Linked DNA regions of Astyanax mexicanus. The protein of the gene in region 4 purifies or fractionates together with the protein of the main gene of each other region. This does not show direct contact. Links are inferred from orthologs where the notes say so. Each region holds a gene or a part of one and is shown on either strand. Other genes may lie near its edges.

Evidence for each region.
Region 1: the proteins of psmb1 (region 4) and psme3 fractionate together in Homo sapiens (co-fractionation; 3 studies listed by BioGRID and IntAct, with this or other methods). This does not show direct contact. The link is inferred for Astyanax mexicanus from reciprocal best matches to the Homo sapiens genes PSMB1 and PSME3.
Region 2: the proteins of psmb1 (region 4) and fbxo7 purify together in Homo sapiens (affinity purification with mass spectrometry; 3 studies listed by BioGRID and IntAct, counting the BioPlex papers as one, with this or other methods). This does not show direct contact. The link is inferred for Astyanax mexicanus from reciprocal best matches to the Homo sapiens genes PSMB1 and FBXO7.
Region 3: the proteins of psmb1 (region 4) and psme1 purify together in Homo sapiens (affinity purification with mass spectrometry; 4 studies listed by BioGRID and IntAct, counting the BioPlex papers as one, with this or other methods). This does not show direct contact. The link is inferred for Astyanax mexicanus from reciprocal best matches to the Homo sapiens genes PSMB1 and PSME1.

Annotation. Positions count from the first base shown.
Region 1 is NC_064422.1:28,879,292-28,886,525, forward strand, and holds the start of psme3 (proteasome activator complex subunit 3), read right to left. Parts: upstream 3,333-7,234; 5' UTR 3,209-3,332; coding exon 3,167-3,208; intron 1,745-3,166; coding exon 1,712-1,744; intron 1,622-1,711; coding exon 1,559-1,621; intron 1,470-1,558; coding exon 1,365-1,469; intron 1,189-1,364; coding exon 1,140-1,188; intron 1,060-1,139; coding exon 941-1,059; intron 847-940; coding exon 778-846; intron 570-777; coding exon 502-569; intron 304-501; coding exon 249-303; intron 1-248. Other genes in the region: nbr1a (NBR1 autophagy cargo receptor a), read left to right, coding at 4,477-4,578, 5,048-5,110, 6,448-6,466, 6,614-6,636, 6,809-6,991, 7,154-7,231. UniProt on the Homo sapiens protein: Subunit of the 11S REG-gamma (also called PA28-gamma) proteasome regulator, a doughnut-shaped homoheptamer which associates with the proteasome. 11S REG-gamma activates the trypsin-like catalytic subunit of the proteasome but inhibits the chymotrypsin-like and postglutamyl-preferring (PGPH) subunits.
Region 2 is NC_064409.1:44,922,228-44,929,742, reverse strand, and holds the start of fbxo7 (F-box only protein 7), read right to left. Parts: upstream 3,002-7,515; 5' UTR 2,904-3,001; intron 822-2,903; 5' UTR 821-821; coding exon 699-820; intron 508-698; coding exon 264-507; intron 1-263. Other genes in the region: uncharacterized protein LOC125798983, read right to left, coding at 4,676-5,527, 5,696-6,007. UniProt on the Homo sapiens protein: Substrate recognition component of a SCF (SKP1-CUL1-F-box protein) E3 ubiquitin-protein ligase complex which mediates the ubiquitination and subsequent proteasomal degradation of target proteins and plays a role in several biological processes such as cell cycle, cell proliferation, or maintenance of chromosome stability.
Region 3 is NC_064413.1:749,502-757,746, reverse strand, and holds the start of psme1 (proteasome activator complex subunit 1), read left to right. Parts: upstream 1-5,152; 5' UTR 5,153-5,307; coding exon 5,308-5,346; intron 5,347-6,553; coding exon 6,554-6,586; intron 6,587-6,697; coding exon 6,698-6,760; intron 6,761-6,947; coding exon 6,948-7,049; intron 7,050-7,216; coding exon 7,217-7,268; intron 7,269-8,070; coding exon 8,071-8,171; intron 8,172-8,245. Other genes in the region: transcriptional regulator ATRX, read left to right, coding at 2,001-3,389. UniProt on the Homo sapiens protein: Implicated in immunoproteasome assembly and required for efficient antigen processing. The PA28 activator complex enhances the generation of class I binding peptides by altering the cleavage pattern of the proteasome.
Region 4 is NC_064414.1:16,613,253-16,621,542, forward strand, and holds the start of psmb1 (proteasome subunit beta type-1), read left to right. Parts: upstream 1-5,152; 5' UTR 5,153-5,213; coding exon 5,214-5,323; intron 5,324-6,454; coding exon 6,455-6,562; intron 6,563-6,650; coding exon 6,651-6,732; intron 6,733-7,168; coding exon 7,169-7,298; intron 7,299-7,399; coding exon 7,400-7,506; intron 7,507-8,290. Other genes in the region: p53 apoptosis effector related to PMP-22, read right to left, coding at 372-576. UniProt on the Homo sapiens protein: Non-catalytic component of the 20S core proteasome complex involved in the proteolytic degradation of most intracellular proteins. This complex plays numerous essential roles within the cell by associating with different regulatory particles.

The DNA.
Region 1 (7,234 bases), on a different chromosome or scaffold from region 4:
GTCTCAATCCCTTCAGTTGATATTAATAAAACCTAATGTTATAATTATGTCTCTGATTTGTGTGTACTGTCTTGAGCATGTACAAAGAATTTTAATGTCTCACAGCTGACAAAATCTGTAAACTGTGCCTTTACTTAAATTGCCTATAATGGCAACTAGTGTATTGGAATAAGGGCTATTTTTCCCGCTATTTGCAGACAGTGCTAAACATATAACAAACACACATGTACATTAAAATTCCTACTTACCACATGGGGATATTTTGCTACTTTGGAAACCAGCTTTGCTCGTGTGATGTAGTATCTATATATTTAAAAGACAGAGAGAGAGAGAGAGAGAGAGAGAGAGAGAGAGAGAGAGAAAAAAAAGACACTTAACCACATCTGCACAAAATTGAGGGATATGTGCATTACAAAGCCATATGCTTTTCCACAAGCAGGGTAGTAAAACAACAAACGTTGAAACATCTGTGCATAAACAGCGTGGAGATACTGACAGTACCTTGATATCTGGTCTAGGTAAGATGCTGCCTCTCCCTCCACTGTTCTGAGTTCAGCCACAGTCTCCTCCTGCAAGAGTTGACAGACAGTTTAAACTCCAACTCTACACTACTTTTGCTGTTTAAAATTGTAAACAGTTCCTTAATGTCTTTACAAAGAGAAATAAAAGTAATAGCCGTCAACTAAACGTGACCATCCACTTTTCTCAATTCACTTTTTTTGTTATTACAGCATCATCAGGCTGCAACCAGGTGTTCAAAATATTTTTAAAAAGTACCTGGATTGAAACCCCAAAGTTGTTGCCATCTTCTATTCTTGGAATTAACAATTGTACCCACATTTTTACCTAGAAAACAAACAAAAAGCTGATAAGTTGCAGAATGAACACAAAAGATCCCAAGTGTGACAATTCTTGCTCATAAGGTAAAACCTAGACCTACCGTGTTGCATTTCTCTATGAGGGTTCTGATTTCAGGCTTAACCTTCTCAATAAGGTCTACTAGTTTGCCGTTGCTTTTCATCATTCCACCAGGCATTACATAGACCTTGGTCCCGCCAACTACATATAAGAAGAGGCCACATTGTGACAACAGCTACAAATTCACCAAAAACAACGACACTTTATTTAGCAGAACTTACCTTTGTCATCTCCTGGACCATCCTCAAGTTTTCTTTTTTTGGCATTTTGCTGTTGATTGAATGAATAGTGATTATTTACTGTGCATTCCCCGAAGTTACACCTAGAAAGATTTAACAAAATGTTCTATTCTTTAGAAAATGGTGACATATAATTCGACTCTTTTAGTAGAAAAGGCCTCAAATCAATTAATAAAAATGTCTCTAATCTCTAAGTCAATTTCTTACCCCTTCAAGACCGTCATGGATGTCTGTAAGTAGAATTGGATCTGGCACAGTCAGATTGATCTCAGAATGGATTTCTTTCAGTTCACGGATGTTTATGAGAGGATCCTGAAAATTGAAACAAATCATATTACTTGCTAAAAATAAAAATACAGAACAAATCGCACAATAAACAAGCTGTTTAAAATCAAAAGTACCTTGAGAAACTGGTCCAGTTCTAACAATTTCTTAGGGAAAAAGTTTGCAACCAGATCTTCGGCCTAAAGGTGATATTAAGACATTTTTAGAAGAAATTAACCGAAGTGTTTACATGCCATCTTTCAAAGTTGTGTAAAGTTAGATAAACTCACCTCTCCTGTGATTCGTTCTCTGAAAACATCAACCTGTAAAGGCAAAAAAGAAAGATTACCTTCTATAAATTCTAACACAATACCTACGAGACAACTGCTTTACACAAAACAGGTGATTAATTTAGCAAGGACCAACTCTTGGCCTTTAGTTCCACGGCTAGCTAGCTATGCTAAGTAGCTCAAAGTAAACTTCGGTATATAGGTGGGTAATTAAGCAAACACTGGCCTTATCAGATGGCTAGCTAGCATGTTTACAAGCGATAATTCCCCAGGCAGAGAGAAACAAATGAAGGCATGTGTTAGACTGAGTATAGCAAGTATGGCCATTTGCCCATCTCCCATTGCACATTTATCTCCAGCACTTTGTGTAATGCAGTAACGTACTGTTAAAAACTAACGATTAGTCGACAATAAAATTTGTAGTCGACAAATTGAAAATAATCGACATTATCGATTATCGTTGCAGCCCTAGTAAACGTCCAGTTAAACCTCTTCATATCAGAGATTCTACTAGTATAAATGCATTGCAGAGATCTGTAATTTGAATTTTAACTGTCTGGTAAAAAATGAGTTGTTTGGCTGGTGTGTTTTAAGGATTGAACGGCTTTTAGCCATAGCGGCTAACTGAATGGAGCCGGTGTTTTGGCGAGGTGTGCTACCTCGTCAAACCTTGCTACCCCAGTGTAGCTAACTATATATATATATATATATATATATATATATATATATATATAAAAGGTAAAAATACACACAAAAAAGCACAACATTAGAACATGCTTGCGGCAGAAATATGTTAGCATATTTAGATGTGCTACCTGAATCACTCTACCAAGTAAATTAAAATAGCTACAAGAAAAGATTAGAAACCATATTTTATTTTTTAATAGTTTATGAAAATAAATATATTTTTAATTGTCGCCTTTAACACTGCTGCAACAAGAGCAAATAATGATAGTGAGCTCTGGATGTTTAAAGTAAATGGGGAAAAAACAGAATTAACAAAGAAAAAACCTCCAAGATATGTAAAAAAAAAAATGAAAACGTTTAAAAATGAGTCAGCGCATGCGCATTGTTAATGGTAACACGTATGGATGGATAGCACAACACGACAAAACACCGGCGAGCCTGAGACCACATGCTAGCTAGATAAAAAGTCACAGCGGGAATTCAGTGATTCACCTCAAGCTGAGAAAGCTTTTACCAAACAAAAAGCCCTAAACGTGTCCGAACTCACGGCCATCTACCAATTTAACAGCCGGCCCGCGCTGTGTCTAACCGGGGAGCTGCTGGGCTCCGGCGCGGGAAAGTTAGGTAGCGATAGTTACTGAGGTTAGCTATGCAGTTCTCCCGCTGCACCGGCTCCGCTGCTCCACATCGAGTAAGCTAACGGCTAACGAAGGGCCTAACGCCGCTCTCCCGCACTGACACCGCTATAAAGGAGAGGAACGCGCTTACCTTTGACTTGATTTCACTGTCCACTTTTAAAAGCGAAGACATGTTTCTGGATCAGTAACGATAAAAAGCCGCGGATTGTCTGAACAGCGCTAACCCAACGTGTGGCTTTTACTGCTGACTGTCAGCCACAAGGTGCTCGCGCGCTCCGAGATGACGTTCAGAAATGAGCGACAGGGTTGCCAGATTGAGACAAGTGTTCCTAAAGGCGCTCAGTAGGGAGAAACATGTTTATTTCAGTAATTAAGTTCAAAATGTGAAACTCATATAATATATAGACGTTTTACACACAGAATGGTCTATTTTTAGGTTTATTTATTTAATTGTTGATGATTACGGCCTACAAAAATCCGAGACACAAAACTCAGTGTCTCAGTATATCAGACTATTCTCAATTCTCAATCACCCAATCTGGCAACACTGATGAGCTTCATACATTTGTTTTCTGCCAACATGTTTATTTAATCCCACCAAAAATTGTGAAAAACCACCCAAAAACAAAACTAGGAATGTTCCGCATATTAACAGTATTAAAATATTTAAATCAACAGAGAAAACTCTAAAAATGTACCGATTTTCAAGAAACTTGCAAGAAATAAAAGAAGGATCTACTCGTGCAAACTCAAAATAAGCTTTTTAGTCAAACTTCTGGCAACTGGGTTTATAAAGCAATACCGTTTATTGTATGTATATATGAATAAATATTTCAACCTGCATGCATTATTACTCACCAGCCCAACAGAGTCCACCCAGTTTGGCGTAAAATAGCCCGATTTTTGAGATCCTAACATATACATATATAATCTAGTAAAACAATTATATTAAATTTGAACACTATTTAAATGCTACATCGTTTAATTATTTTTTTAAAAACACATTCGCCCAATCTGGCAACACTGATGTGCGACCGAATGACAAGTCACCGCCAAACACGCATGCGCAAAACCCGCCCCGCCCCCTCTACATATCCTATATAATTTAATAAGAGTTTATTTTACATTTAGGGTTAAATCCTGTTATTCTGTTGATTTTAGATTAAATGTGTTCTAATGGTTTAAACAGCCCAGAAAACAGGCGGCGGTGAGAGGAGAAGCAGCGCTGGGGCTCTTCCTGTTACGTGGATGTGGGGGAGTGTACGAGTTAAACGATGTAAACAAGAACGGGCAGACGGAGAGACGGAGCGAGAGACAGACAGTTAGACACACAGACAGAAAGAGGGAGAGAGGGAGAAAGATAACGCTGGATCCGCCGCCGTGAATCTCAGCGTCCCTATCCTACCGATTACTCCCCCCACCCAGTCCCGGCTGAAGACGATGAATCACCCCGTCACCGTTAAAGTGAATTTCCGAGGCAGTGTGAAGAAGTTGCCGGTGGTGGACGCGGAGAAGGCGCAGTGGGAGACGGTGGAGGCCTGGGTAAGGCCGAGGCGCAGGCCCACATAAACAAACCCAGACAGGAGGACGATAGCCCGCTAAGTTCGCTCCACAGCACCTTCGCTTCTACATGTTTCCTTTGTGGTGTTCATTAACAGGCTCTAGTGTAGATAAATTAGCAGTCTGACAGTGTTAGCCAGCCTGAGAAAATGCGGCTGTGTCGTTATTGTCACCTGGCCTCCGTGGCCTCGGTCTCCAGGTGACAATGACATTTAAGACAGAATCGTTTATAGATAGTAGCTAGCTTTAGCTGATGTTATTTTCTCAGTGTTATTCTTCTTCTTATTGTTGCTGTTTTGTCATTTATTCTTCGCTCTTACTTAACTAACCTAGCTAACGTAGGTTATCTTGTTAGCTCACTACCTAGATTAACTAGCTAGCTAACTACCTACCCTTTGTGCTGTCATTTCCTCCTGTTAGCTAATTCCCTTAATTCTCTAATTGCCTTTAGATTAAAACGACTTTTGGATTATGCCATTTTCAAGTGAAGTATTTTGACGAGGACAACGAAGAGGTAAGCAGTACGTTAGCTAGGTTAAATAACCTGGCTACCTGATGTTATGGTCATGTTATGATTTGACCATGTTAATGCTTCTATCATAGTAACTGACAAAAATTAGAAAAGTTAAAATGATATCAAAATAATGTTTTTTAGTCTTTATTACATACATTATTTGATAATAAATTATCATCGAAATTATCATCATGAAAGCTGATTTTTATATTATGTGGTTTATGAAAAAATAGTATTGAATTTAGCTATGTTCAGTAAGTGTATGAAAATGTATCTGTGTATGATAATTGATTATGTATGTGTTGTTTCTAAAATCATTTATAATTTAAAACTACTGTATAAAAAACGTGTAAACTGTACTGTTTTTTCACAGTTCTATACATTACCTATTGTGTGGTAGTGTGGGTAACCACATACAGCTCTGGGGAAAAAAAAGAGACCACTTCAGTTTCTGTGGATTTGCTATTTATATGTATATGTTTGGTGCAAAAATTTGGTTTGATGGCTAGTGATAAAAAAATCAAAGAAACTCTGGTCTCTTATTTTTTCAGAGCTGTGTGGTTTGTTAAACAGAAATATATATATATATATATCTGTGTATGATAATTGATTATTTATGTGCTGTGTCTAAAATAATTTATAATGTAAAAATACAGCATTAAAAATCACAATGAAAACTGTACTGTTCTATAGCTACATTACCTATTGTGTGGTGGTGTGGTAAAACACATATATAAAATTAACACAAATCTATAAAAAAAAGCTTTAATAGATCCAAGCAGACTTGTATGAACCAACAAACAAATGATTTATTAATTTACTAACTTTCATATAATAATGATTTTATTGACTTTATTATTGAACAGATAACATACAAATATCAGATGTTATAAATACCTAACTGGGTTCAGAAGTTAAACTGAATTTCGAGCGAGCAGCTATAAATGTAGTCGAATACGTATGTTAAAGAAAATAAGAGCAAGAGAAATATATAAAGAATAAATGTTTATCTATTAAAGCAGTGTTGGGAATGTGTAGTTCACCAAAAGGTAAAAAAGATGAACAACATTTAAAACTGATGAATGATCATTATTACCTCAAATGTGTGTTTGATGTTTCTGTTTTTATTTGTCAGTACATTGTATAACAGCAAATTGTAGATTACTTATGTAAAAAGGAAGGGCAATATATAATAAATATAATATCTTTTTTTAGTCTGTATTTGTTTTTGTTTGCCATGCATATAAATTTGCTGTTGTGTTTCTTTTTGTTTATACATTTTTTTCTTTCTTTCTTATGTGTATATATATTTTTGCGAAACCGAAATAAACTTCTAGATATCCATAAACAGTCAAGGTAGGTGATTTATGTTGCCATATTTTATTTATCTAAGTAATTATAAATCCTGTTTAATCCTTGGCTGTATGGGGTAAATGTGGTATGTCTTTTTAAGTGCCGTTTAAATTTATTCATAATATTTTTAAAACATTTTTCTTTCACCAGATGAGTATATGGAGGCTCTGAAGGTAAGAACTCGTCATTTCTAATTTTACACTTTGGGTTATAACAGCTGGTGGTGGGTTAGAGGACTATGCATAATTGGTGTTTATAATAAAATATGTTTAATGCATTTTAATTGTCTCTTACCTTTAAAAGACTACAACATCAAACAGTTTTGAATCTTAATGTTCTCTTTAGAGTGCATTTAAGCAAGCCAACCAGCTTCACATGAACGTGTATAAGATGAAGGGCCAGGCTGAAGGTGGGGCTGTTAAGGCGGAAGGTAAAGAAATCAAAATAGACCCCAGACCTGCTCCGCCATATCGGGCCAGAGTAAAAGTGGCCGACAAGGAAACACAAGTGACCCCTGAGCGGGACTCGGTAAGGACTCGGATTTGAATTAAATTGTACTGTGCATGATGTTTAGTACGAGATATACATATGCCTTTTTTCTTTTTTTTTTTTCTTTTTTCTTTTTCTTTTTTTTTTTTTTTTACAATTTTTCAATTTCATTGTTTGATTGTGCTTATTATTTGTTTGTAGGTGGTTGTGAAAGAAAACAAAGTGACCAAAGTTGAAGAGGAGGCAGTCCCTGCATGGTTCAAATCTTACATGGACAGAGTA
Region 2 (7,515 bases), on a different chromosome or scaffold from region 4:
CATTAACACTGTACAGATGATTATATTTTACTCATTCAAAGTTTAAAAAGTATAAAATATATTATTTACATATAGTCAAGTGCCAAGTTTTACCAGATTCCACAAACCACATATTTGATTCAAATCTAGAAACACTTTAACCTGACCCACATCTGTCAATTGTTTAAATGCCTCTTTAATGTGGACAAATCTATATCAGAACATGTAATAACATTACACAGATTTGATTTGATCATATCTGTCTGACAGATAACAGTACTCACCACTTGACTGGAGCTTTGCATGGCTGATACAGTGTGACTCTGACTCTGCTGTTTGTTCAGCTGATCTGTTGCTCTGTTGTGAGTCTGAGAAGTAGAGGGCTGTGGCGGGGCGGAGTCAGCAATGCTCTGAGGCAAAATCACACTGATCATGTCTCCGGACACCACCCCACACGAGGACAGCGTCTGCCCAGTGTCCACCAGCGACTCCTTCCCATTCAGAGACAGACTGAACTCTGTATCAGCACTGCATGAAGAATGAACATGTGCATGAATCAAAGGAGCTTTATACTCAGCACTTATGCAAATGACTGTGACCTTATGAAACTCCGTTCAGCAGCCAATGCATTTTGGTCATATCACACAATCAACAGTATATCTACCATTTAAAAGACAAAAACATTGAAAATGTTTACTGTGGCTATAAAAGGCACTTACCTGAAACCGATTGAGGGCAACAACACCTCCTTCACTTGGATACTGAGCTCAGTCAGTGTGGGCTCTGCTTCTTCCAGCTCCACACGGCTGGTCTGCTTGTTAATTCTCACCCTTAACTTCATACTGTACAAAGGAAAATTACATTAAAGTCATTGACAGCTAAATTGAGAAGACAATAACCATTTTTTATCAATATAATCACTTACACAGTACCAATCAAACATTTGGACACACATGTGTTTTCTTTCTTTTCTATAACATCTGAAATTATTTTGTAAACAAAAATGGTTAAACAAACCAGAATATGTTTTATACTTAAGATATCCTAAATATCCATATTTAGCTTTAAGTACAGATTTGCACACTTTGTTTTTTTATGTTATTATCAGTGAATTTATGAGGCAGGGTTAGCTGGAATCGTTTTATAAGCATCTTGAAGGAGTTTCTGGAGGTGCTGAACAATAGTTGCTGCTTTTGTTCTCCAGCTCATCCCAAATCATCATCTCAGTTAGGTTTAGGTCAGGTGAGGCCAAACACTTTTATTGTTTACCATGTAATTCCATATGCGTCTCTTAGTTGTTTTAATGTTTTAATAAGAATATACACCTTAAAATTAATGAGAATGTGTGGCCAAACTTTTGACTGGTACTGTAAATGTATTATCGCCTCACTTAAACCTTATTCACCCTAAGTGCAAGACTGAAGACTGTAGACTGAAAACATTTAAATTTGACACTAAAAGATTAGAGAGAAAAAAATCTACATTTTAACTTTTATTTCCAAGTATTTACATCTAGATCTGGTACATTGCATAAATATTATCCATAGCCAGGACAACTTTCCTGCAGAAGAAGTCATCACTGGTGTACTAAACAACATAGGATAAACAGGTAGAACAAGCAAAAAACACAGCAGTTGACGGAAACATTTAGAGAGCTGTAAAGACAACCACTTAAAGAAAACCTCTAAAACAACCTTTAGTGACATCAGCAACAACCTCCAGAGGGCGGAAGTGAAGGTATCACAATTTACTGTTCACCGAAGACTTTGTGAACAAAAGTATTTAGGCATCACCAGATAATACAAACCACTATTAATTTGTTATTTACCAAGCAGTACAAAGACACTCCTATGGACTGATGAAACAACGATTAACCTTTACCAATGTGATGGAAGGCTAGTGTGGAGAAAGAAAGTATCTAAACATGATTCCAAACATACCAGCTCATCTGTAAAACACAGTGGAAGTAGTGTCATGATTCTTGTTCATTGATGTACAATTAAATCAGAAGTCTACAGAAAAATGTTAATTTAAAGAAAGATGAAACCAAACTGTTTGGGAGAACCTTCATTATGCAACTAGATAATGACCCAAAATCCACTGCCTGGAAAGCGAATGATTTGCAACCTAACATTAAGTATGTTTCACTTTAATTGACTTTAAGTTTATCTGTTCCAATATTTTTGCTCACAAGAAAAATGTGTGGGTTCAAACAGAAGACGCTATCTTCTGAACTGTGTACTGAACTGTATACTTGTGGAGGGCACTGTATATAAAAGACATTAATGAACACATATGCAGTATACATAAAAAGACCCTTACACAAAGAATTTTTTTGTTTGTCTAACACGTTTTGGTTTGGAAATAATGGAACTCAAAAGAGTGAAGTTGGTGGGGTGTACCCAAAGAGACACAGGACGTCCTACTAAACTCAAGGACAATAAAATGTTAGCTGTTTGAATTCAATGTGATGTTTCAATGTTTTCTAGTAAACAAATACTGTAGAATTAATTAACTATGTAACGCTAGCCAATGTAACTAGCTAACCCTAGCTTAGCTCATTTGAGAAAGTGGAGTAACGTTAGGCGTGTGGAGATGAGCTTTCCTTAGGATTTGTCTGAGTATCACACAACACATACAGCAGCCTTGCTCTCTTTTACCAATGTTTTATCATTGTTATATCTGAAGTCCTGTGTGGTCTGCGTTATTCTTGTCGTTCTGTAAAGACTGACATGATTCTGTCACATTCACTTTACACAGCAGCGGGGGTTCACTCGATAAACAGTTTTTTAGCTAAGCTAACTAACTAGCTTGTCGAAGTTGCAGCAGATTGATTAGCTAAAATTGCGCCGTTCTGTCCGAATAGACCTAAAACTCTGTTACTCGGGTAGATTTACTGTATCGCTAACATTAGTTAACATTACCTGAAGTGTGTTGATACAGACGTCACTGTGCTGAGAGCCTGCAGGCGGAGATGGTTTTGGTTTTGTAAGTAACCGGTGTTTTTCAAAATAAAAGTCCAGCGTCGAGTTGACGTACGTGGACAATGTGTCAGCAATATTTAATGACGTTCAGCTCTGGAAAAATAAAAGAGAGCCATTTAGTTTCTCTGATTTTGCTATTTATAGGTATATGTTTGAGTAAAATGAACATTGTTGTTTTATTCTTTAACCTACGGACAACATTTCTCCCAAATTCCAAATAAAAATATTGTCATTTAGAGCATTTATTTGCAAAAAAATGAGAAATGGCTGAAATAAAAAAGCAGAATTTCAGACCTCAAATAATGCAAAGAAAACAAATAACTCTGGTTTTCGATCACAGTTTTCATGCATCTTGACATGTTTTCCTCCACCAGTCTTACACGCTGCTCTTGGATAAATTTATGTCACTCAAGTCACTTTTTTATGAAAACTGGAATCATTTTATTTTAGTTGGTCAACTACTTGAATCAAATAGTAGACCATACAGTTATATTGACCTAATTAATAAATACAAAATTGACAAGTACTCTACAGTGATAATACTCTACAGTGATAAATGCTATACCAGTTGGTGCAAATTTACTGCTGAGAGGTGTAAACTTTCCTTGTCACTCACTTGTATGCTTTCAGCTAAACACCAGCAAAATAATAAGCTGATAAGAGAATTATTTCAGAAAGACATTGCTACAATTCCTTAAGTAATATCATTTTGGAATAGTATTATATAGTAGAGTGTATAGTGTGGTCTTTACCTTTAAAATATTTAATTTCTAACAAAGTGAGAGAAATTAGGCTGAAATTAATATATAACATTTTCTTTTAAAGATTTTCTTTTAAAATATAAGTGTGATATGGAAACTGACCGCTAATTTTGTAAACGTGCTTCTGAAGATGTTACTTCTTGTTGCTTGCTATGGATATTTCATATCCATAAATGATATGTAAAAAAAAGTTTGGGAGAAGGACCACACCCAAACTCCACGCTCTAACTCCACCTCTTATCAATAAACCACCCTATAAATACCTGCTCTAACTACCTACTTTTCGTGACAAAAGTTTGCATCCCACCTTCGCCCCAACAACCTCCTGGTTGCTCATTATCAGCCTTTGTCTCAGCTTCTGTAGCAGTTACATCTTTTACCTTAGTTTCCTTCCTCTGTCTCTGCTGGGTCAGTGTCCAGTAGCAGGTTGGAAGCGTTTGATGCCTCATCCATAATGTGAGAGGCCTGATCTTCCTGAGGGCAGTGAACTCCTCCATCATCCACCAGTGTTTGGCAGCTTCTGATGCCTCATCCACAATGAGAGTGGCCTGGTCTTCCTTTTGGGGGCAGTGAACTCCTCCGTCTTCCACCACCAACTACATCACAATCGCGCAGAGTACAGGCTCCACTATCACCTCAGCTTCAGCCAGGTTGTTATGGTTGTTTTTTATGTAAACCTTTTTTATTTATTTATTTATTTTATTTAAGGGTATTTTTGTTTGTTTTTTTGTGGTTGATTTTTTATGTAATATTTTTTTGCTTGTTTTCTCATATTTAATTATTTTTGAGGTTGTTTTTTTTATTCTTTTCTGGAGTGTGCTACTGTACTTCACATACAAGACTTCAAAAGGACTAAAAGACCTAAAAAAGACCCCTTACACTGTAAATTTTGATTTATGCAGATTTATTTCTATTTTGCGTTGACACAAATCCACTTATTCCTACACTGTCCTACTTATACAGCCTCTTTCCTCGTTTTCCTAGTCTTCCTCGTCTTCGTAGTCTTCCTAGTCTTCGTAGTTTTTGTGATCTTCCTCGTCTCCCTCGTCTCTTATGCTTCTTTTTGGATTCAGCTTCGGGTCTGCATTCAGCCTCCGTCTCGGCTTCCTTAGTCTCTGCTGGGTCAGTGCCCAGTAGCAGGCTGGGAGCTTCTGGTGCCTCATCCATGATGAGAGTGGCCTGATCTTCCTCTTGTGGGCAGTCAACTCCTCCATCTTCCTCCAGTGTTTCCACCACACTCTCACAAAGCTCTGTATTAAAGGTCACCTCAGCTTCCTCTGACTCTGTTAAATAAGTGACCTGTAGCAGGCTGGGAGCTTCTGGTGCCTCATCCATGATGAGAGTGGCCTGATCTTCCTCTTGTGGGCAGTCAACTCCTCCATCTTCCTCCAGTGTTTCCACGACACTCTCACAAAGCTCTGTATTAAAGGTCACCTCAGCTTCCTCTGACTCTGTTAAATAAGTGACCTGTAGCAGGCTGGGAGCTTCTGGTGCCTCATCCATGATGAGAGTGGCCTGATCTTCTTCCTTGGGGCAGTCAACTCCTCCATCTTCCTCCAGTGTTTCCACCACACTCTCACAAAGCTCTGTATTAAGGGTCACCTCAGCTTCCTCTGACTCTGTTAAGTCAGTGACCTGTAGCAGGCTGAGAGCTTCTGGTGCCTCAACCATAATGAGAGTGGCCTGATCTTCTTCCTTGGGGCAGTCAACTCCTCCATCTTCCTCCAGTGTTTCCACCACACTCTCACAAAACTCTGTATTAAGGGTCACCTCAGCTTCCTCTGACTCTGTTAAGTCAGTGACCTGTAGCAGGCTGAGAGCTTCTGGTGCCTCATCCATGATGAGAGTGGTCTGATCTTCCTCTTGTGGGCAGTCAACTCCTCCATCTTCCACCAGTGTTTCCACCACACTCTCACAAAGCTCTGTATTAAGGGTCACCTCAGCTTCCTCTGACTCTGTTGAGTCAGTGACCTGTAGCAGGCTGAGAGCTTCTGGTGCCTCATCCATAATGAGAGTGACCTGATCTTCTTCCTTGGGGCAGTCAACTCCTCCATCTTCCTCCACCAACTCCATCACAGTCTCGGAGAGTACAGGTTCAACCATCGGCTCAGCCTGCCTCTCCTCCACCGTTTCAGGGTCTCCTTCCACTGGAGTGACCGTAGTCTCCTCCGTTGTCGTCGGCTTCTGTGTTCTGGATCGGTACAGGTAGTAAAGCGATCCACCGGCAGCTATAGCTAGAGCTGCAAGGCTGGCTGCTCCTAGTATCCCTCGAACTGCACACATGTTGTCGCTGCGAAGATCCGTTGACGACTGAAGTTTTTCGTGCTGCTGAGCCTTTTATAGTGTTGAACAGTGACGTCATATTTATATCCACAGCAGTAAAACTGTGATGTCATTGACATGAACGTTCCAAAGTAATAGCAATAAGCCAACAAACAATAAAAAAAAAACACATCCAAGTCCAAAATCTGATTAAAAATATCTACCAACTTTTTTTTTTATTGTAATCTTTTATTTTTTTGTTTTTAAAATGTAAATATTTATGTGGTTATTTTTTTGAGGGGGTGTTTTTTTATGGTTGTTTTTTATGTAAACTTTGGTCGTTTTTTAATATTTATTTTTTGAGGATTTTTTTTGCGGGTAGTTGTTTTATTTTTAGTTGTTTTGTGGATGATTTTTCATGTAATCTTCTTATTTTGCTTTTTTAATATTTGATTATTTTGTGGGGGGGGGGGGGGGTTTAGGTTTTTTTTATTGTTGTTTTTTAACGTAGTAGACTGATGCCAACTATGTTTTTTCGCTTTTTAAAGTTTAATTTTTTTGTGGTTGCTAAAACTATCCGGTTTATTTGTATTTTTCATAATTTAATATATCTATTTTTTATTTTGTTTAGATTTTTTAAAGAATCTTTTTATTTTTTAATTTGAATTATTATTATTTTTTTAAAAAAGCTCCAAATCTTTTTAACTTTAAGAGGACAAATCCGTTTCCATGTTGATTAGAATAAAAAAATAGATTGAATATTTTTATAGTTGATAAAAAATAAACAACAAACTGTGCTGAATTCCTCACTACTGCTGTAACGCGTTTTACTTCACACATGACAACAGTTTAGTTTTAACTATGTGTAACTATAAATAAATAAAATTTAAATAAAACAAAAGAAATGCTTTTCCCAGCTAACTAAAAAAGGTTCGCCAAAAAGTTGCAAGGGACGTTCTTATTGAACGTTTGTAGGACCACCAATAAACATTCAGAAGACTATTATGCGATGTTTAAACAAACATATTTAAACGTCTTTTATGGTCTTCCGTCCTTTAAACGTCTCTAATAATGCTAAGTTAAATTCTATCGTTTATTAGATTGTGGCATATAATAAACACAAGTAGATGCTGCAATCTGCTGTTTTTATTAAATATGAAAAGACATATTTCTCGTGTATTGCGATCAGGGCCGCCGCTCTGCATACGCAGACAACGCAGCCAGCGTTAGGCCTCAACCATTTTGCAGTTGCAGGGAGCCAAATTGACTGAGAATGAAATGTGTTGAAATTATGACATTATTAAATTTAAAACCCAATGTGAATTATTAATGATACGCTCATCTTTTTTGTCTTTAAACATTGCATGGGGCACCTACTCTACTACTTAAAAGCGGCACGTTATTATTTTTGTGCATAATATAATGCCCCCACCCCTATTGCCTGAAATGGCACGGCTCGGTTTGCTCTGTTGGTTGTTGCCAGATGTCACATTGCCCAGTCAAATAAATAATCAAAAATGCATGGAGGC
Region 3 (8,245 bases), on a different chromosome or scaffold from region 4:
CGTTATGTGAGCTATGTGAAATTTAGAGCATGGATTGGAGGCTATTCCAGCTATACAGAGGCTATTTAAAACTCAGACACTGAGGCTTCTTTATTAGCCGTGATCTGTTAAGTGACGTCACTTTTATACAACTGTACACATTAGAATTATTGGTAAGCGAATATGACAAATAACAACATCATGGCAACCACCTTACAACTCCCTGGCAACCACCAATCAACATAATTTTATGATAAATGCCTGAAATGCCTCACTGTAGAACCCAACTGTACAACCTAACATCACCAGAGCAATCACATGGGATGTCATAGTAACAATTTTTGGAAACCAAAGCAACCAACCTAGATACTATAGCAACACTATAGCATCCAAACAGTAAACTCTTATCAACCATTGCAATGGGAATTGTCTGGGAAACCACCTCAACCACTTAACATCATAGTAAATAGTAGTAGGAGTTATTTACTGATACTAATATTACAAACAGCATTCATTTATATACATATTAGCAGTGGCATTGTGGATTATATTATATAGTTCTTTAAAATTTATATACATTTTTTTTTAATCCTCAATTATATCTATTTGACAATGTGATATTTGTTTTGCATAAAATACAAGCAGTTAATTGTATTTTCACTTTTAAAGCTAAAATTTGGATCCACTTTTACAAAGAAGAAAATGTCATATGTATATATATATATATATATTAGTGACTCACAAAGTTAGTATGATGGAGACTTATTGGGGTGAGAGTGGGGTCTTATGTCACATGTGTCCCGTACAGAGTTTATCTGTGGATGAACGCTCATCACCTGCTCATCCTTATTACAGGAAACATTAAAACTCAACTCACGGCTGTATCAGTTTTACCTGATTTTATTAATGTACATTCATTTATTATTTTTTGATTTACTTTATTGTTAATTTATAAATGAATAAATTATATTAGTTAGTCTCAGATCTAACTTTTAGCAAAATTTTTCCTAAATATCTTATAATGTTATAAAGGAAATATCTTATAAAGTTTAGTCATGTTCCCACAATAAGATAAATACATGATTGAGCCGCTTAGTCTAATGGGTTAAATTGTTTTGTGTATATATATATATATATATATATATTTATTTCTTAGAATTTTCTTTTTCATTCCTGTTTTTTTGTACATGCTCTAATCTACTGATAATAGACGTCATAATAATAAATAATGTTTATTTATTTATTTATTTATTTTAACATGCTCGGCTCTATTGATAATGCGTGCCATAATAAAGGATAATGTAATGTTTTATTTATTTATTTATTTTTTAGAATTTTTCTTTTTAATTCCCTGTTTTTTTTTAAACATACTCGACTCGATTGATAATGCGGGTCATAATAACGACTGATTAATTGATTGTTGTGGTAAATAGTATCTTCTGTTTGGCTTCTTCCAGATGAGTCATGTCCCTTATAGGGTAAATGGGATCAGCTCAGTGAATCAGAGGGTGGTGATGTCATGCAGAAAGAGGGAAGGTCAGCAGCAGAATTCCTGTTGGGGGGCTGGACAGAGGGGAGGGGGGGGTCCTGTTTCAATGTTTCAGTGCCCTGTGTCAGAAAGACTGGGGTTGGGGGGGTTGGTTGTTTCTCTGTGTGAGTGTGAGGCAGGACTTCCTTATGGGCGTGGTGAGCTCATGTCTCGCATTCTTCTTCTCCAGCTCTGTGTTTCAACACCACCAACTGCAGAGAGAACTCCAGAAGCTCCAGACCAGGCGGGGCTGGACCAGCACCGGACCCAGTGTCCTGTTTCTGCTTTGCCCCCTTCTATAAATAAGCGGGGTGATGTAGGAAGGGGTGTTTTCTGACGCCACGGCCCAGGAATGGCTCCTGAGTGACGGGGGGAAGGAGGGAAGGAGGGAAGAAGCCCCCACAGCTCTCTCTCCATGACTGGGAGTATTTTTGGCCGTGTTGTCATCTCTCCGTAACACGGGCGTATATATAAAGGAGAGGCTGGAGGAAAAATGCATCTGTACAGCAGTGCCCTCACACACTACCCTCCTCTCTCTCAGAAAGTTCTGATAACTATCAGCACCAGCAGCGGCAGCAAGCCATCTGCCGAAGACTCCAGCTCTGCTAAAGCCGCTAACTTCCAGAACGCAGAGGAACCGTTGGCTGGAAACATGCCTGCCTTCGCCTGTTACGACACTGCTGCTTCCATGAGGCCGCATTTGTTCACATCCAGAGCTGAAATCATCATAACCCGGCCTGATGGAGTGGAGAGATCTGTTCCAATTCATCTAGTGAAGCAAGGGAGTCATCTAGACCTTCTGGGATCTACAACAGAGAATGGGTCTAGTAAAAAACCTGGATTGACCAATCATCATCAATCATCAACACGCGAGGATGTTTCAATATATGAGAGCTTGCCAGGAATTATTAGAAATATTTGCAGAGCATCTGAGTCTAAGGATGAAGAGGAACCAGTAGGCTTGTGTATCGCCATCAACGATGCGACGACTCAACAGCAACAGTCGTCACAAGGTTCTTCACAAAGTGTTGCGTCAAAAGACACAAGTAAAGAAGAAGAGGAAGATGAACAACAAGAACAAGAAGACAACGAAGAAGAATATGAAGAAGATGAAGAAGAAAAGTCGTTCTACCCAATCAAAAGCAAAGACTCAACCAGAGTTCCATTAGAGCGACAGCCAACCGAAGAGTACGAATACGACAAAGACCCAGTCTTCGAACTCAAGATTCTCCAAGATTCGCCCCCAACCGTGGTCAACAATAAGACCAGCAGCAGCAGCAGCAGCTCCAGCCTTAACGACAAAGTGAGCCAATACCTGGCAGAGGTGGACAAGCAGAACAAGTACCTCCAGGACAAGAGGAGGTACCGTTTCCACATCATCCCTGATGGAAACTGCCTTTACCGAGCAGTCTCTAAAGCCGTGTACGGAGACCAGTCCATGCACAAAGATCTCCGAGAGCAGACGCTCTACCACATCGCCGACCACCTCGATGAATTCAGCCCCATCATCGAAGGCGACGTGGGCGAGTTTTTGATCAACGCGGCGCAGGACGGGGCCTGGGCCGGATATCCCGAGCTTCTTGCCATGACTCAGATGCTGAATGTCAACATTTACCTGACCACTGGAGGCAGTCTGGAAAGCCCTACCGTGTCAACCATGACGCACTACCTGGGAGAAGAAGACCTGTCCAAACCAGCCATTTGGTTGAGTTGGCTGAGCAACGGACATTACGACGTGCTGCTGGACCAATGCCAGCCCAACCCCGAGTACGACGACTGGTACCGTCACACGCAGGTTCAGCGCAAACGCGATGAGGAACTGGCCAAATCCATGGCAGCGTCCCTGTCCAGAATGTACATTGAGCAGAATGGCCTTCACTAAAAGGAGCTGACCAGATACACAATGCACTGTTCCAATGATAGCATCTACTGTACTGTGCTCTTTATATACTTTATATACTGTATTTGTTTTGTTTTCTAAAAGGATTGCACTTCTGATTCCAAAATCCGTTTGGATTAAGTTGCCTTAATTTATTGTAGCTGTGTGTGTGTGTGTTTGTGTGTGTTTTTATATCAGTGTTTTTAAGTGCAGCGCACAAGACATGATGTGTAGAATGTGGAATTATGTGGAAGCCTGTTGGCTGGGTGTTTGTGTGTATGTGTAAATATGAGTGAAAGTACTGGGAAATTGTGATGGTGATTTATATATATCTATATATTTTTTTTCCAAACTTATTAAAAAAAGTTTATCCTGCTTCTATTGGAGTAACTGTTTCTATTGTGCAAAGAAAGCTTTCTACTACAGCTCTGGAAAAACATAAGAGACCACTCCAGTTTCTCTGATTTTACTATTTATAGGTTTATGTTTGAGTAAAATGAACATTGTTGTTTTATTCTATAAACTACAGACAACATTTCTCCCAAATTCCAAATAAAAATATTCTCATTTAGAGCATTTATTTACAGAAAATGAGAAATGACTGAAATAACAAAAAAGATGCAGAGCTTTCAGACCTCAAATAATGCAAAGAAAACAAGTTCATATTCAATATGTAAGTGAGTATAATAAATAAATAAAATAACCTTATTTCCAAAAGGCATTTCCAAGGACTGACTTTCAGCTGGATATTTTTGTTGGACCTGGCAACCCAGGCTCGGCTGCTCTCGCTAACCAGCAAGGTGAGGCTCAGCTGTATCTCCAAAACGCCTATGGTTTATTAAAGGTTGATGAAACGACATTGAAACAATGTTGTCCTTTCAACTGTGTTTTACTTTTCAAATTGAACACCAAATCCAACGTTGATTCAACCATAACATCAACGTTTCCAGCTGGCATTTCAACATTGAATAAATGCTGGAATTGATTTTAAAAAGTGAATTAACGTTGAAATAGCAGTTGTTTCAACGTTAAACGTTCAACCTTAATAAACCATCCCCGCTGGCATTTCAACGTTGAACAACCTTGATGTTATGGTTGAATCAAGGTTGGATTTGGTGTTGATTTTGAAAAGTGAATCGGCGTTGATATGACAACGTTGTTTCAACGTCATACGTTCAACCTTAGCTTACTAAAATGAGAAAATCCTATGGTGAACAGTGTTAACAATAAACTTAGATTACTGCAGTAAATACAGAGTATAAAGAAAGTTTATACCCACCACCACTACCAATCTAATTACTGAACATCTGACATCGAACATCAAAAACAGTAAAACACTAAAACAGTAAAACTATTAGAACATGAACATGGTGTTAAATAAATAAAAACAGTTACTGCAAATAGAAATAAAACACTTTTTAATTTCTCCATCCAAACGTTTTTAGAAATGAACGTTATATGGTGATGAAATGTAAAATGCTGATTTAAAAGGAAGAAGGTTGAGGACATTATATTGATTCAACATTAAAATTTCAATATTAGCACAACCATTTAACATTAAACGTTGATTCAACGTTGTTTCAACGCTGAAGCAACAACAGACATTACTTTAACCACATTTTAACGTTGATTCTAAGTAAAATTCCAGCTTGGTTTGTTTGGGTGCGCAGTTTGTTCGAAAAAGTTCAGACTTTAATTTTGTAATTTCAAATTAAGAGTCCGCTCTCCTCTCGCGGCTGGGATGGGAATTACTGATTAAATACAACTCGATTTAGTTTCACTTTCACCCTGTTCTCTCAGTCTCGCGCCTCGTCGTTTGATCGTCGAGGATAAATTATATTTTTACTAAATTTCACAGTCAGAGTTTCAGTAGTGAGCAGAATTTTACCTGTAGCTACACCTGAACTTTACCTGCACAGAAATGACTTCTATGGATATGAGCCCTGCGTCTAAGAAAGAGGTGAGCTGTGGATTTTGGTTAGTCACTGTAGGCCTGAAAACTCAGATACTCCATTTTTATTACAGCTCTTCTTTATACTGCATTACCTCTTATCTCCTATACTCCAGGCCTGCAAAATACTCTAGCTTTTCTTTATATAACAACAATAATACTTTTTACTTTTTATCTTTTCTTTTACTTATTTCTAAAAAAAAACACACACACACAATACAAACAGAGACGTCCAAGATACATTTATAAAACATGCAATCACGTTTTTTTAATGTATTTATAATAAAATCAGAGAACTATATTAAAAATATATATGTTTGCAGTAATATCTACCCATGTTCTTATAATCTCACTAAAATTATACACACACGTGGACAAAATTGTTGGTACCCCTGGGTTAATGAAGGAAAAACCCAGAATAGTCACTGAAATAATTCGAATCTGATCAAAGTAATATAATAAATAAAAAATTCTATGAAAATAAACCAATGAAAGTCCAATGTTGATTTTGAATAGAATGATTTAAATTAAAAAAATAAACTTTTAATTTATTAAATTATGTGACCAAAGGGACATGTTAAATCAAGGTGTGTCCACTGTAATTAGCTAAATATAGGGCTGATCTTGGAATCATGTTCTCCATGTTCACCAGTCTTACACACTGCCTTTGGATAACTTTAAATGTTCCATGACTTCTGTCCAGGCCTGTTTCATAAGTTATTTTTTTAAAGCATGGTTAAAACAGAATATCTGACTTTCATCTGTTCATTTTCATAGAATTTATATTTATTATTACTTTTATAAGATTCAAGTTGTTTCTGATACCTTTGTGGGTTTTTCTTTAATTAACCGAGGGGCACCAACAGTTGTGTGCACGTGTGTATGTAGATATAGGTCAGAACTGTTCATTTTTGCTCTAAACATCCAGAAAAAATAGAACATTTTTTTATTTTTTTAATGTTGTTAATCAGAATGTGTTTGGAAAGATCAAGCTAGTTTTTTTTTTCAGTAAAGCATAAGAATTACAGGGTCATTATAAAATGTAAAGATGTTATTTTTATTACTTTTAACTCTTTTTTTTTATTTCTGTACTGTCTCTTAACATTACTTTGAACTTCTCTACTTTAAATCTGATGATCCTCTGTAAGAACAATAACACAATATAACAGTATGACGTTCATGTTAGCATTTATTTAATTATTTATGTATTTTACAGGTTGATGGATTCACTAAGAAGTCCATTAAAGAGGTAAAGCGTTTTCTTGGTTTGTAGACTCTCCCAAATAAAAAAAATATATATATTTTTTTTTTCACAAGTATCTCAGTCTCAGACTCCTCTCATTTCTCCTCTCTGGCACAGGCAGAGCAGCTGGTCTCAAGTTTCTTCCCGCAGATGATTGCCAAGATGGACAACCTGTTGCAGGTAAAGTGTCTGGTTCTGATACTTTAGCTTCTGAAAGATTATGATATGATATCATAACTGCAGATAGAACTACAGATATATATATATATATATATATATATATATAAATATATATATATATATATATATATATATATATATATATATATATATATATATATATATATATATCTGTTATTGATTTTAGGCCTCCCTGGGTTCAGAGGACCTGTCTGCTCTCAGGGCTCCTCTGGACATCCCGATCCCGGACCCCGCCAAAGAGGAGCTGAAGAAGAAGAAGAAAAGTGAGGTAGAGTATTTATTTACATCCAGACCAGACATTAAAAATCTACCAGTTCCTCAGAGATACTGATGACCTCTCAGCGAATCACATTGCAGGGTCAGAACTAACTGTGGCATAATGGATGTTAATGGATATTGATAGATAAAGCATTGTAAGTTTTATCTTTCACACAGAAAGAAGGAAAGGATGGAAAGAAAGACAAAGGAGATAAAGAAGAGGAGGAAGGTAAAGTATATCTTGCTCTGATACTGGACACAGTTAAAGCTGCACTTACAACTCATTACATGTGATAAATTTCATCTTATATTTTTAAAATGAATGCAAATCCATACATCGACTTAAGCCCTATCTGGACAGGATTAGTTTCTAGTTTCTCAGGGGGTTCTGGGGTAATTTTCTCTTTTATGGGTTTTTCTATCCTCTGTGATTTTATTCCTGTCCAGAACGATCATGTAGGTGTTTTATTTCTCAGACGTCCTCTGAGAAAATTACAGGCTGAATTATCTACTGTTTGAACTCCGTGCTCCTCCGGTAATTTTAGTCCCGTCCGGACGCACATCTCTGAGTTTCGTCTCCTCGCCTTTAAAAAAATAGATATTTGTTCACTGCCGTGCACCGTAATTACACTTTGGGAGCCACGGTTTCTACAGAGATCCACGTTAAAAAAAAACACAACAGCGAGTGGAAATGGAGGACCGAGAAAAAAAACACTGATCCTCCTGTTTTTACAACTGCAGTCCGGCTCCAGGAGTTTTATCACTAAAGAGTAGAAGTGTGAAATATTTTTCACAGACGCCCCCTGAGAAACTAATCCTGTCAATAAGTATATATAACAATAAGTTATTATTGATAAGTGCCTTTATGCTGTTTTGAATGTAAAAACGTTGTCCAAATTAACAAATAAAATATCTGATATATAAGTTTTTATATAACTATTAAGAATAAGAGTGTTAGATTGTGTAGTGGTTATCTCTTATTGCACTCTTCATGCTCAAATGTTAACAGGATTGTTTTTTTATTGGTTTAGCTGGTCCTCTCTGTGGTCCGATTGCTGTTAATGAGAAAGTCGAGAGTCTCATCAAAGAAATTAAGCCTCACATTCAGACTCTGAAAGAAAATCTCAACACTGTAAGTGACTCTTCTCATTTATAGTATTAGGTATATAAGTATAATCTTAATATTATATATATATGAAGTTTGGG
Region 4 (8,290 bases):
ATATATACATATTGATATATATCAATACCTAATAGCTACAATTAGCTAGAACTGTAATCTGATAAGTGTGAAAGGTTATAGCTATTAAAACAAAGTTGGATTATTACCAAACAAACTTTTTTCTTCTTCTCATTTTAGAGGACATTTCTGTTGATTTAGTGAGTTAAATCTGTTTTGGTGTGTTAGTGTTGTTGGTCTGAGCTGTAGTAAATGTTAAGTTAGGTGAATGTTGTTGGTCTGACTTGTTGAGTCCCCCCCTCCCCTCCACCACCAGCTCCACACCCTGTTTGATCAGTAGATCCGCTCAGTAAAGTAAAGTTACTCGGTTCTTACTGCGGTGTTTAACCCGCGGGCCGGGCCCAGGTACTCACAGTTCTCCATCAGGGACCAGCAGGTCCAGTTGTCGTTGCGGCCGCGGCACTGCTCCCACATGCTGGCGTAATGGGACTTGGCGTTCTCGTCCTCCACCCAGCCGGACTGCGCCGCGATGGCGATGATGTCGAAGATCAGCGCGAACAGCAGCAGCAGCGGGAGGATCCACCGGCAGCGCGGGTACGCGATCCCACAGCGGAACATACCGACACCCGGAGAGAGGGAGCAGGACCGAGAGAGACAGAGAGAGAGTGCAGGAGTGAGTCTGTGTGAGTGAGGGAGTAGTGTGTGCTCAGCGCCCGGAGTCCAGAGTCCTTTCTGTGGCTCTCAGAATCCGGCCGACCCTAAACTACAGAACCGAGCAGCTCCTCCCACCTGAAACCTGAGCAGGGCTCGGCTCTGCCGGGCAGGAGCCGGGGAGGGCGGGGGCCGTGTGGGAGGGGCGCTGAAAGGGAGGGGCGCGTTTACTTTCCTGCCTTTGTTTTTGCAGTACATCTCCAAAAGTTTGTGTTCAGACTGCTAACCCAAATCAGATTCATGACAGATCCAGATTTAAGTCAAAAGAAATCAGATTTTGCATATTGATTTTTTTGTCCTGCATGTTTCTAAGAACTGACGTTAGTTGTTAAACATTCTGGTAATGTCACTGCATCGTCACTTGTGTCAATGTTTAGATTTTTAGTTTTGGGAATGTTCATTTTTTACACACATTTTTATTCTGTGTTAGCTGGGAAACCACGTTATCTGCTGTGGTAGCTGTGTGGGGTGCTGTGGTATCTGCATGGGTTACTGTGGCATCTGCATGAGACGCTGTCATCTGCGTGGGTTGTTGTGGTATCTGTAGGGGTTGCTGTGGTGTCTGCATAGGTTGATGTGGTATCTGCACGGGTTGCTGTGGTATCTGTGAGTTGCTGTGGTATCTTTATGTTTTGCTGTGATTCATGATTTTGTTCATGATTTTGTTTATAAATCATTGGTTGTTCATATAGTTTAGTTAAACATATCATATTGCAGACAAACACAGTGATATTTGAGAAGTGAAATGAAGTTCATAGGATTTACAGAAGGGTGCAATAATTCTTTAAACAAAATTAGGCAGGTGCTTAAATTTGGGCACCCCAGGTCTGTACTGGTTGCTGTGGTAGCTGTGTAGGTTGTTGTGGTATCTGTGTGGGTTGCTGTGGTATATGTGTGGATTGCTGTGGTATCTCTGTCGGTTGCTGTGGTATGGAGGTCGGTGCTCTCTACCTCTGGTTGAGTAGCTCTAGCACAGCATATGATGTCCTTTGATTTTAATTTAATGGTGTAGCTGGTCTGTCCGTATATCCAGGTTGGTTGTTCAAAATGATAAGAGCTCATACCAATACTCTAATTAAACATCCTAAAAGCACTCGGCTGCACTGTGCTACATTTTTTTGTGGAATTTTGGTCATGTAGAAATGTATCAAAAACATCAGAAAAAATAGGGGCTAAATATGTCAAGAATAAAAATATTGTATATAGTGTATATTTTATTCAAAAACTTTTTAGGATACTCTGGATAAGGATTATATTAGTAAACACAGCCTGTGCACAGCAGGTGTTAGTAGTAAAATGGATTCAGTGAGGTTTCAGGTAATGAAGCTTCCGGCAAATGTTTGGGCTGAAAAGCTCCATTTGACAACTGAACAAAAAGCTAAAAACACATCTCTAATTTGAAAGAAAATGGTTAAAGAAATTTAAGAGGTAGGATTACTGATGAAGGAGTACTTATACTTATACTTAGCCAATATTACACTTTATAGCACAAACCTCGAGTGTATTATTGGGATTATACCGCTGTTCCATTATTGCTGTTTATTGAAAGATTTTAAATTAAAGAGGATGAGAAAATACAATCTGTTTGGTTATAAACACTCCGTGAGTTAAAATGGTTCCATTTCTGCTCTGTTTGTATCGGTGCTGTATCGTTGCTAGGTTACCTGTATGTGGTGGAGTAATACATGGCGAACTTCGGTTACAGTGCATTACCGGCTGATAACGGCACTCATAGAACACTTCTTAGCCAATCACATTGTAGGGTCAGAATTAACTGTGGTATAACCAGAGTTTAAAACTGTGACCGAAATGACTCCCTATTAATTATTTAGGGCATTATTGAGTGTGTCAGAATCATGAGAGCGAAATAGATTGGGTTTTAGGGCACAATAAACCCCCATAATGCATCAGGATTTAAAGTAAACATTGCTGCTTACAAATCAAGCTGAATGTGTCCCAGAATGCATTGCGATTCTCACTGCAAAGCAACAGACAGCCGAACAAACTGAGTGGACAGCGAGCCACCAGGGTTGCCAAATTGTTACAGTGGGATTCAGATAAAAGTCAATGGGTAAAATGTGTTTAAAATCTGCATAAATGCAAAGAAAAACAGCCAGACAGCTGATGTTCAGCATATTTACAGTATCACAGGGTTTATTCCAACATGACCTTAAATAAAATACCTTAAATATCTTAAATATCATTAATTACAATAAAATGTTATTTAAATTATTTGTATTATGTGTTTGTGCATTGTATGATAGGACACATGAATGAAAGAAAAGTAAATACAGTACATACAAATAAACTCGCAAAAAATGACTTCATGACTTACATGAAAACATAATAATCAACACAAACACAGCGTATTTGAATCTCCATCACTGATTATTTAAATTTCCAAAGTCATAACACTTGGTAGTTTCAGATGTTTCTCCATTTCAGACAAACCAAGTCTCCCTGAAGCTGCGGGAGTCTCCCGCATTTAGGTAGTGGCTCCCTGATGCCCAGGGGCGTAGCAGCAAATTCTGGGCCCTGTACACCCTCTATGTTAATGGGCCCCTATCCATGCCAGTAAACAAAGGAAAGTGAGCGAAAAAAAAATCAGGATTTTCATGGGCCCCTCTCCCTACTCGGGCCCTGGGTAGTCAGGTCCACTTTTCCCCCCACTACCACGCCCATGCTGATGCCCACGAGTCACATATAATCTCCCGCAATTCAGAACGAGTGCCCCAAACGCGCACTGCACGCAAACGCGCACACAGGCGACAGTATGGTGGCCGAGAAAGCTCAACGCAGTGCAAATTGAAAAGCGCTGCAAAAGCACAAAACACATCCATCAAAATTACAACACAGGCGCAGCAAATAGAAAAACGCGCTGCAAATAGAAAAACACGCTGTAAATACAACCACAACACAACGGAAGTGAGTCACAACACAACGGAATTTTCCCGGGGGACCTCAAAAGATGCTGTACCAGCTGTGTACAAAGGACAATAAGTGGCAAACAAGCTTCTGAAAAGTAAGTTATGTTTATTACCTGTGATTACCATGGTTGTGTGCATATTATTAAAAGTTCTGCTTCACAAAACGCCTTGTTTGCCACTTATTGTCCTTTTTACACATAGTGAAGTCCGAGACGTTACTGAAGACGCAGCTTAGCTGGTCCAGTATCTTTTAAGGTCCCCCGGGAAATTCCGTTGTGTTGTGACTGACTTCCGTTGTGTTGTGGTTCTATTTGCAGCGCGTTTTTCTATTTGCAGCGCGTTTTTTTATTTGCAGCGCGTTTTTCTATTTGCTGCGCCTGTGTTGTAATTTTGATGGATGTGTTTTGTGCTTTTGCAGCGCTTTTCAATTTGCACTGCGTTGGGCTTTCTCGGCCACCGTCCGACAGACTTTTTTCTCTAATCGTGTGGGGGAAAGAGAGAGAGAAAACAGAGAGGGTTCTGATTGGCCTCAGTTTTTAGTGTGGGCGGGCAGTGTTTTTCCCCCCTTCCAGACGGTTCAGTTAGTGAGAGAAAGCAGATCATGGCGGAGGCAATATTAATAATTATTTTAATATGATATGGAATGTTTTGGATGTTGTGCAATTTTCTGTGATATTGTAACTGTCAATGTTTGTCAAATAAAGGCTTTTGTTTTTGTTTTTCAAAAAAAAAAAAAAAAAAAAAAAAAGGAAAGCAGAGGCAGGGCCTTCCAAAAAGAAAAACGTTAAAACTCATTTCACCTCTAAATACTCTAAATTTAATTAAAAAAAAAAAAAAGTAAAATTAATTAATATAAAAGTAAAGTTTCGTTATCTTTTGGTGTTATCTTGGGATGTCTGCCATTTAGTTTATTAATGGATTATGTTTGTAAACAGTGTAAATATAACAGAGCGATTCCTCCATTATCACTATTCACTAACTTTAATTTAGAGCTCAGTTCGTGTGTTTATGTAGTTTTAAACACAGTTCTGTTGTTTTTGGTGTCCGTGTTTCAGAATGATGAGGGCGTGTCCGAATTCACTTTAGTGAAGTACACAGTCTCTCGCTATAAAGCGCAACACTAATGAGGGAGTAGGGAACCATTTCAGTCACAGATAAACACCCAATCATCCATTACTCCGGATATCGATGGGGATTTAACAGGGCTGAGATGGTCTGGGGGCTCGCGGCGCTGTGTCTCCCAGTTATACAGGCTCAGAGTTCAGCATCATCCACCTCCACTCACTGAGCGCCGGCTCGCGGACTCCCTCTAGCGGTCAGTGCTATAGTGGAGGAGGCGCTCCTGCAGCAGCGCCCCCTGCCGCCCGGGAGACACAGCGCCGCGAGCCCCCAGACCATCTCAGCCCTGTTAAATCCCCATCGATATCCGGAGTAATGGATGATTGGGTGTTTATCCAATAACGATGTTAATAACAGGTTAATAATAACAGGATCTTATTAAAGCTATTTCTGAAATAGAAAGAACTGATTACAAGTGCTTCGCGTCACCGGAAAAGAGCGATATCAACTTCCGTCCGCCATGTTGCAGTGATACAGCGGGTTTCGGTTCGGTTAGAGATGATTTCCGCGCAGCTCCGAGCCCCGCAGTCCGGCACCATGCAGCCCCGCAATGCCGCCACCGCCGCCGCCACCCAGCACAAGTTCTCCCCGTACGCCTTCAACGGAGGGTAAGAGGACCACAACTTTACATCCAGAATATAACTGCTATTAGAGCTGTAGTTATAGAGAGAGCCGGTTCTGGAGTTGCCGCTGAACCGATGCTGCGGGTTTAATTTACCCGGTCTCCGGCTCACAGGTCCAGTTAGACTCGGTTCTGCTTCAGTGAGCTGCTGTAAAGTCTCTTTCTCTCTCAGCCCGACTCCAGCTCTCCTCTCCTCTCCGCCTGTAGCTCACCAGGAGACTCGCCGGTTATCAATAAAGTGTTATAATATTAATAACTCAATCTGTGCTTCAGTGACTGGAGTAACATAAATGATGTTGGGTAGATATCACTGTAAGCTGGTAGATATTATAATGAGAAGTATCAACAGTGTGGATTTTTCTTGATCAATTAGCAAAAAAAAACCCTTTAAATATAGGTTATATATTTCACAAAACACTGTAATGTAAGTATTGCGCTAGTGTACATTGCGATGACTAGGCAGAAAAGAGAATATTGTTCAGCTCTAATGTAGAGTCAACTTTCAGTTCAGTTTTAATAATTACAAGAGATTAAACCCACCCTGAATACCTGTTTACTGTAACTATCGTTATTTAGTTAACTTATCTTAGTCTTATATTTTAAAACTCTCCTCACTGTGTTTATTACATTATACAGGGACACCTGCTTAATCAGTTGTTTCTACTGAATTGTTTTTACTCTCCTTTTTTTGGTTCTACTTATTGTCTCTACTGTCCAGGGAAGAGTTTTCACTAAGTTTTGGAACGTTATAGTGAGGATGAGGATGTGATTTAATTCAGTTACAAGAGCATTATTGAGGTCGGGATGTTGGATGATGATCACCAACTCATCCCATCTTTAAGTATTGGATGGAGCTCTATCATTTCAGAGAACACATATCAACCCAACCTTTATGCTATGCAGGAAAACAAGGACAGAATCGGTAATACAAATAATTGGAAAGCAGAGTAATGTACACATCATACAGCAGAACTTACAACAATATTAAACCATTAATAACATCATTCTGATATCAAACATCAGCTGTTAATTCATCTCATTTATTTAAAGCGTTGTGTAAAACCTGAGTGTGTCTGGGTTGTGTGTCTGATTTCATACTGTAAATGTTGTGTTGCAGGACTGTGCTGGCGGTTGCTGGGGAAGATTTTGCTCTTGTGGCCTCAGATACTCGTTTAAGTGAGGGCTATTCAATCCATAGCCGGGATTCCCCAAAATGCTATAAACTGTAAGTGTGCACAGCTTTTGTTTTCATCTATGTAGATCCCTGTTGTGTGAAGTAAACAAAGTTATGCTAATATGGTCTGCTTTCACAGGACGGACACGACAGTGATTGGCTGCAGTGGTTTCCATGGTGACTGTTTGACACTGACCAAAATCATTGATGCAAGACTGAAGGTACGATTACTTTCACCTCTACATCTGAGACTGGTTTGATATTCAAACCACCAATACACAAGTTTCACTTACCTTAACTATCATTCCTTAGACAAGACCCAAGACACATGAGCCCAGCATAGTGTCCTGGTATATTCTTTGTGTTTGTTGGCAGGTTGAAAAAAACACATAAAATATATGTAGAAATGCACTATTAAAAAGTAGTGTTTTTGTCAATAAACTATTTATCCAAATAGAAGATGAATAAAAAATGTCCACAGTCCCTGACCTATTATGACAAAAATTAGCATTGTAATGATTTTTATATATATATATATATATATATATATATATATATATATATATATAATTTTTTTTTTTTTTTTTTCTCTTGTGTTGAGGGGAAAAATAATGTAAATGGTGCCCAAAAAAAGAATGGTGTGGTCTCCCTCTACAGATGTACAAACATGCAAACAACAAGTCCATGACAAGTGGAGCCATTGCTGCCATGCTGTCAACGATTCTGTATGGAAGGCGATTTTTCCCATACTACGTTTACAACATCATCGGTGGACTGGATGAGGAAGGTAAGCTTCTCAAGAAGGTAAAATTTTCTCAGATCCATTTTAAACTCCTACCTATAATACTCAGTGTCTTTTTATTTAATCTTTAACTTTTCCCATTCAAGGTCGTGGTGCGGTATACAGTTTTGATCCTGTTGGATCTTATCAGAGGGATTCTTACAAAGCCGGAGGATCGGCAAGTGCAATGCTGCAGCCACTGCTTGACAACCAGGTGAATTAGCTAAAATTATTTATTTAGATACACACAACAGAAAGTCTTTAACACAGGCAATGTTATTCAGATATTCTCTTAATACATGTATCTTTTTGTTAAATTTTTAATTTGTAAACTTTAACGTGTGATTAAAACAAATTCTGCCTTTATTCATGCATAGATCCGTTAAGCTATGTTAAAGGTTTGGGGAGTAAATGTACACACATACTTTACGATCCGTCACAGTACGGGGGGGGGGGGGGGGGGGGTCACAGGCTGGTTCACACAGAATACACGATACATGTCATCTGTAGGAACATGCGAGAACCACTGAAGGTAATGTGGAACCAAGTTCACAGCCGAGTTGCACCTGAGAACTTTAGATGAACACAGTTGTTTTTAGCAACATGTAACTCGCTTAGCCTGCTGTGCTAACTGTAGTGCTTAAAGTATTGGCTAAGTTTGGCAAGTGGAAGCAACCCCTTTTTATAAAATCTACTGTGTGGGGAATGGTTTTAGAAACATTTGTTAATGCATTTTCTACACCATCCGGCACCAGACGTGCTGATAACAAGAGCTAAAAATAAAAACTGCAACCCAACTTCTAATTCCCACAGTTTGTTTTTGTATTTTCAAAACATGTGGTCTGTTTTTTAGGAGCCAACTACAAGAGTGTGTTTATGCATGTATAAAGGCAGAAATCTCTCTTTTTTTCTGTTGGAAAAATTAAGGCTTAAGCTTTATGTAAATATAGACTTTTAAACACACAAACTCCTCTTATTAGACAAATTAATTTTGTATA